Linked DNA regions of Nothobranchius furzeri. The protein of the gene in region 1 interacts with the protein of each later gene in a pairwise test. Links are inferred from orthologs where the notes say so. Each region holds a gene or a part of one and is shown in the gene's direction. Other genes may lie near its edges. The genes, in order: gpn1 and gpn2.

Region 1 (2,893 bases):
TAGACAAAAGCACGCTGCCCCCGCGTTTTGTATTTCATTAATGGAACACGAAGCAGCAGGCAATCAGCAGACCTCAGTGCCCAGTTTGGCACATATCTAGTGACAAGATCCGACAGGTAATCCGGTGCCAGACCGTTCAGGGCCTTAAAAACAAAAATCAGGATTTTAAACTTGACCCTAAAGTTTACGGGTAGCCAGTGGAGCCGCGCCAGTACAGGTGTGATAGTTCAATAGCAGAAAATAGTTCAATAGCAGAAAAACAACATGCTATCACCTGAATTGTCTTACAGCTGCTATTTGTGACGACTGCTGCTTTTTGAGGTGTGCATGATTTGCTTGACAATAATAATTTTGGAAGAGTTGTGCAACACAACGAATCGATGACGCAATTCATTGCCAACGCTTTTAATAATCAGTTTTCATCGATTTGTTGTTGCAGCCCTACTTCCTACTGAACATGTTAATGAGACATATGAAGTTCTGATCGGATGTGGATATTATTAAATATGTGACTTTGAGGAACGTGACAACCTAAATACTGAAATGCAGGTGAAATTTGTACAATAAAATGTTAACTACAAATATCAGATAGGAAAAGGGGAACTAGACAACACCAATGTAATACATGCTTGAGCCTTTCAAAATAAGAGTCTGAAGTCTCAGCCTCATTATATAGTTTGATTTCACGTTTAGCAGAAGACCACAGTCTGGTTGGGGCGTCGTTGGTGTGTTCTTACTGTGTCTAGTTTCTGCAAAACATCCTCAGAGCTGACGCCGATGGTGGCGTCACTTCCTACTCTGTTTATCCGCGGATAGCAAAGGACGATGTCGCCCTCTGCTGCCCGCTCTCCCCCCTCCGATGATGCAGTCCCATGCACGATCCAAGCGGGCGGGCAGCAGAGGGCGACAACAGGCTAGCTGCTTGCACCCTAAGCCTTGCTGTGCACTTCGCTGAGGACCGTGGGATGCAGTGCGGCTAATGGGACCAGGCCATAGACACAGAAGAAAGACCTCCAGCTTTGTAGTTCTTGCTGAAGGGTTGTCTCGATGTTGCAGACTGACATCATCGACCACAGCTTTGCAGTGGAGTGGATGCAGGACTTCGAGGTCTTTCAGGATGCTCTTAACCAGGAGACGTCATATGTGAGCAACTTAACCCGCTCCATGAGCCTGGTTCTGGATGAGTTCTATACCAACCTGAGGGTAAGACGCCACCTTGGCGAGGCGACTGTGTGTGCGTGTGAGTGTGAGAGAGAAGATGAAGAGCAGAGCTGTGACATCTCTGTGGACAGGTGGTGGGCGTCTCTGCAGTGACAGGAAGTGGATTGAAGGAGTTGTTTGCGCAGGTGGAGGACGCTGCCAAAGAGTACGAGAGGTGAGTAAGGACACGAAGACACGGAAAGCTCTTCTGTCAACATGGCCGTCAGGATCGAGGTTTAGAGGTCATAGGTCAGGAAACGTAACTGAATTTTGTTCCTCTGTAGGGACTATCGTCCTGAATATGAGCGTCTCCGTAAGCAGCTGGTGAGTGTGTGTTCCAGTGTTGTCTAGGTGTGTTTTGCTTGTCTTATTGTACTTCCTGGTCTCCAGGCAGAACTCCAGAGCAGGAAACAGCAGGAGCAGCTGGAGCGTCTCCGGAAGGACTTGGGAGCCGTGAACATGACCTCCGCTCCATCTTCAGGTAAACAGACAGGAAACCCCTCCACCCCGCTGCAGTAAAATTCTGATTTGATAAGATCGGTAACTTCCCTTTCTCAGAAGAGGCTGATCTCACAGGACCCAGTGACCTCATCATGACTCGGGGAAACCTGGACGACGACCAGGAGGAGGTGGACAGCGATACAGATGACATCGACCACAGCGGTGAGACACGAACACAAACACCATTAGCATTTTAACCTTGCTTGATTTTGCCGTTAGTGAGAAACATGGCTGCTGATGTGGGTGGGGCTTCAGTGAGAGTACCTGTTCATTAGCTGTTGACTTGGTTTGCAGTGACGGAGGAGAGCAAAGAGAACGACGCCTTTGGAAACTTCTTGAAGGAGAGAAAGGAGGTGGTTCAGGTTCGAAACAAGAAGCGTGTGCAGCCCGATGTTCCCTGACCTCTGACCCCATCTCGTTTTTGGACTCAGACTATCACATGGAATGGATCCTGTCAATGTAGAACATTTTAAACTGACTGATGACCTCTGACCCCTCATTCAAACTGGTTTTCCAGCATCGTCAGCCTGGGCAAAAAAATAAATCTATTTTTCTATTTGTTTTGTCTCGTTTGTTTTTGTTTGTGTTTTTGAGGATGGAAAGATACACGATCAACAAAATAAAACTTTAGGTTCATGCTGGTCCAAGTCCTTGTCTTTTGGAATGAATGAGAGAACGCTCAGACGAAGGGAGTGCAGACAAACTGATATTAATACGTGTTTTTCTGCTGTCGGGTGAAACGAACCCAGTAGTTTCTTATCCAAGCATCCGTCCATCCAGTCAGGCTCCCGCTCCAATAGAAGCAGGTTCAGCTCCACGCCTTCCTTTCTAACGTCTCTGCGGCATTTTAACACTCAAATGTTCTGATTGTTCCGGTTTTTATGTCCTGATTTTTCTGCAAACGTGTCCAAAATGTTCAACATTACTGAATCAGGATCCCTTCTGTTTGTTTTCAGTCACTTCAGTGATGCTGAATTCAACTCCGTTGGTCCTACAGCTGACAGATCTGGGCCTATTCTGAGCCAGCTGCAGTTTAGCTGTGTGTGTGTGTGTGGGGGGGGGGGGGGGGTGGGGGGTGGGGTGCTTTTACTTTATTTCCCTAATTTATTCTCCAGTTGTGTCTCTTCTGGACTAGGATTAGGTCTGCCTGATGGGTAAGGGACTATTGAGTTTGATGTTTCAACAACGCTGC
Region 2 (4,257 bases), on another chromosome or scaffold:
GAAGATGGATCAGGGCACAATCAGTCGATTGGAAGATTTGAGAGGTTCTCTAAGGTAAGGGCAAGATGCTGTTGTGGTTGTGTTTGAGGTCCACCGTGGGCTGAACTTGGAGGAACAGTTTGTCCGACGCGTGCCCGGTCAATAATACCAGCCGCTTCTTTCCAACATTATTCATTTAATCCGTTCTTTCTTCGTTCAATCCCGATTCATTCATCAGACTGAGACACAGGCTGACCAGGTACAAGTAGTGGGAGGTTAACCTTGATCATTTAACACGGTCAACAAAACAAAACATGGCATCCCCCAGCTCACCCCACTTCCACATTCCTACATAAATACCCACACGTCTATGGACATAACCTTTATATACCATGACATAACACACTCACACACCTACAGCAACGCCCCTCACCAGTCATTGCTGAGTATTCACCAGACATCCAGAATCAGTTCATTTACACTGATTTGGTGCGTGCACACAAATATTTCTCTGCATTCTTGTGTGCTCTTTTGATGAGAATTTTTTTATTTTGTAATAATAATTTAGAGTAAATGTTATTTGGTTTAGGGTTTTGGTCGACGCATAATGGAAAGGCAGGGCTGGAAAGATGGCGAGGGACTGGGAGACAGCCAGGTTGGGATTTCTGAAGCTCTGGAGAATGAGGGTCAACATCCCAAATGCAAGAGGGGCTTTGGGTCAGTTAAAACACGGAAACACAATCAGTCAACAGCTGGGAGCAAACAAAACGATCGGATACTGATGTTTTGTTTTGTTTTCTTGCAGGTATCATGGAGAAAAACTGTTATTGCATCCATTAAAAAAGGCCAAAACAAACCATCTCATATGTACAGTGTACGATAAACCTAAAGACATTGATAAAGGTGACACCTTACTGAGACGCCAACCTAACACCAGCATGAAGTACAGAGGATGGACACCAGGGGGAGTCATTGGTTTAAAAAGATGACTGGTTCTGTTTGATAAAATCTGTATATTAACCTGTTTGATATTTGTATCAAGTTTGTATTAAAGCATTTTTAACTTACTCAGATTATTTGAGAATCGTTTTTATTAATTCAGTCAGAGAAACCTAATGTTCCATTAAGCATTGTTTTTTGTATTCAAATATTGTTTAGAGCAAATAATAAAGTGATACAAAGTAGCGATAAAGTAAACTAAAGTGCTCTCAAAATTAACCGGGTTTCTTCATTCGAGCTGCGCTGCTACGTAAAGTGCTTTTATTTTGACAAGCGTGACCTTTAACCCGGACGTATTTCCTGTTAGCTTAAGCTAGCATTTGTTATGTGTTGATTCATTTGTACGCAACGTGTGGCTCGCATTGGTGTTTATGAACAAATCCGTGCAGCTACAGCGCATTTCTGTTCGTTTGAGGTTGTGTTTTGGATCAAAGAGTCGCACGTTTATAAAGTTGTAGAACTTAGTTGGGTGTAGCGACTCGCTTAAAACTCATTTAGTGCGTTACAACGTTCACGCGGGAAGCTAAACTGACCTGAGCCCTTTTTAACGCCACATCAGCACGTCTTTTGTTGTTGTTGTTGTTGTTGTTGTTCCTTTTACATCTTCTGGTCTCATCCGATGTGAACTCCCTCAGCCTGATGAGAGCATTTCTAAACCATGACCTCTGAGACCGGAGGAAAGCCCCAACTGCGTTTCGGTCAGGTTGTCATCGGACCCCCGGGCTCAGGTAAAACCACTTACTGCCAGGGCATGCAGCAGTTCCTAACTAGTCTGGGACGCAAGGTGGTCGTGGTGAACATGGACCCAGCTAATGAAGGAAAACCGTGCTCCTGCGCGGTGGACATCTCAGATCTGGTCACTCTGGATGATGTTATGGAGAATCTGAAGCTTGGACCCAACGGGGGACTTCTCTATTGTATGGAGTATGTGGAGACGAACCTGGACTGGCTGGAGAGCAAGCTGGCACAATACAGAGACTGTTACTTTTTGTTTGACTGTCCCGGTCAGGTGGAGCTTTACACACACCAACATTCAGTAAAGAACATTTTCTCACAGCTGGCCAAGTGGAATTTCAGGGTAAGTTGGGATCATTCTTCACCCTAGATGCTCATGATGGTGATGATTTTCCACTAATCGTCTCCTTAGCTGACAGCGGTGCACCTTGTGGACTCTCACTACTGCGCTGACCCAGCCAAGTTCATCTCTGTGCTGTGCACGTCTCTTTCCACCATGCTGCACGTGGAGCTGCCCCACGTCAATGTCCTCTCTAAGATGGATTTGATTGAGCAGTATGGAAAACTAGGTAAAACCAAGAGCTGCTAGCTGTAACTAAATACAAAATAAACAGGAAACACAATATAAATGTGGCTTGTTTCTCTCGAATGACACGCATAGTTTTCTAACTTGTACACCAAGCATTCAACTTATTGTCCTTATTTACAGCCTTCAACCTGGATTTTTACACCGAAGTTTTGGACCTGACCTTTCTCCTCGATCACTTGGCTGCAGATCCGTTCTTTAAAAAGTTTCGCCGCCTTAATGAGAAGTTGGCCGAAGTTATACAAGATTACAGCCTGGTCTCCTTTGTCCCTCTCAGTGTGCAGGTATCACTGCGGGTTTTAGTTGTGCAGTTGTGGCTTTTTAAAGGTTCACACTTCCGCTTCCTGTTGCCTGAGCTGTAAAACCACACAAGTGGATATTTATTACGTACGTTTGCATTTCATTTGAGATTAGTTTTGTACCAAAGGTGCTCTAGTACACTCAGAGGTCTGAGCACCAAGTTCTTTGGTGCGTTTTTGCTCGTAGATTTTACAAAGACGGAGTTCCCACAGAACGTCCGTAGAAATCACTTTAAGGTCTGACGTTGGCTTTCTAACTGTTCAGAGAAATCACAGGTCACTCACCTCCTATTTCTCAGTTCAAACCAGACCATCATGAATTGCTTTTAGCATTTGAACCTGAAGATTGGCGCAGTTATCCTCCGATGGAACGGACAGTTAACATGAAACACCACATTTGTCCCTGACATTACTTTTAACTGGAAAACTGTTTGATTACTCTAAGAGACCCACACAATAGACACAGCGGCTCTAGTGGTGAGGATGGGAATGCCCCAGCCAGCCTATGCAGCCACTTGTTACCTAGGTAACCTCAGGTATTTAGCACAGATTTAAAAAGCAAGAAAGCCTACCTTTTGACCCTGAGAGTATATTTTTTTGAAAGATTGACCTTGTGTCAAAGACCTTTACTACTTGTGGTTTTGTGTGCAGCTTATCTCCCAGAACCAAACCTTGATTAACAAAAACACGGGAGGCTGTGGAGTCACCGCGTTTCCAAGAAGGCTTCAGAAATCCTTGGAAGGAGATAAACGCAACTGGGTTAAGATGAAACTAGATTTGAAAAGTTTAGCGGATACTGAGATTACCTGCTGTTATAAGTCAGGAAAAGAACAAATACAAAGGACCTCCAACAGGATTTTGTCAGGTTTTTGGTCGACTAATTTAAATAGTTTCAGAGAATTTTTACGAGGAAATCCCAGATGACGTGCTTTTGTTTTGTTTTTTTCTCTCCAGGACAAAGAGAGCATGATTCAGGTCTTGCGAGCGGTGGACAAGGCCAACGGCTACTGCTTTGGTGACTTGGAGGAGAGAAATCTGCAGGCGATGATGTCAGCTGCAGTGGGAGCAGACTTCCAGTTCAGCTCGTATCCTTTCCCCAACTCTGATGACTCATCTGTTTTCACTTCAGACCTGAAGCCACTTTTACCACTTAGCACTTAATTAGGATTCTATTTCATCACTGACATATTAGTTAATGACCCTACCAGCATGGTTATATAAATAGACCATTCACTCATCTTGTTTGGGTTTTTCTTGACGTTCCACCCTGCAGTGCTCTTGGTGTGCAAGAGAAGTACGTTGAAACCAGTGCAAAGACTGTGGAGGAGGAAATAATGCAGCTTTAAAACAGAAAGCTCAGACTTACCTGTTCAGACTTGGCAACATCGCTCTTGGCCGTCCTGAATTTATCCGTGGTACAAGAGAGCTGGATAGACGGGAACTAAATTTGGCTGCCGCACAGTAAAATAGTTTCACCACACCTCGGAGGAACCACAACGAGGAACGCAGAAGAGAGCAACGGCTGAGCTTTGTTTAGCAGCGCCATTACTTTGTTTTTGTTTTTTACTTTTACTACAATAAATACAGAAACTGTTTTTTTATAATAGATGTTCTAAGGTAGTCTTGTTGTTTGTGTATTTCTACTTGCTTAAAAAGATG

The links.
Region 2: the proteins of gpn1 (region 1) and gpn2 interact in binary tests that used the Homo sapiens proteins (3 or more experiments, as listed by UniProt). The link is inferred for Nothobranchius furzeri from reciprocal best matches to the Homo sapiens genes GPN1 and GPN2.

The regions. Positions count from the first base shown.
Region 1 is NC_091749.1:65,752,760-65,755,652, forward strand, and holds the end of gpn1 (GPN-loop GTPase 1), read left to right. Parts: intron 1-1,056; coding exon 1,057-1,203; intron 1,204-1,292; coding exon 1,293-1,375; intron 1,376-1,484; coding exon 1,485-1,524; intron 1,525-1,590; coding exon 1,591-1,681; intron 1,682-1,758; coding exon 1,759-1,863; intron 1,864-1,995; coding exon 1,996-2,102; 3' UTR 2,103-2,337; downstream 2,338-2,893. UniProt on the Homo sapiens protein: Small GTPase required for proper nuclear import of RNA polymerase II (RNAPII). May act at an RNAP assembly step prior to nuclear import.
Region 2 is NC_091745.1:40,677,082-40,681,338, reverse strand, and holds gpn2 (GPN-loop GTPase 2), read left to right. Parts: upstream 1-1,297; 5' UTR 1,298-1,636; coding exon 1,637-2,056; intron 2,057-2,125; coding exon 2,126-2,282; intron 2,283-2,422; coding exon 2,423-2,583; intron 2,584-3,552; coding exon 3,553-3,683; intron 3,684-3,871; coding exon 3,872-3,944; 3' UTR 3,945-4,198; downstream 4,199-4,257. Other genes in the region: gpatch3 (G patch domain-containing protein 3), read left to right, coding at 1-54, 569-696, 785-968. UniProt on the Homo sapiens protein: Small GTPase required for proper localization of RNA polymerase II and III (RNAPII and RNAPIII). May act at an RNAP assembly step prior to nuclear import.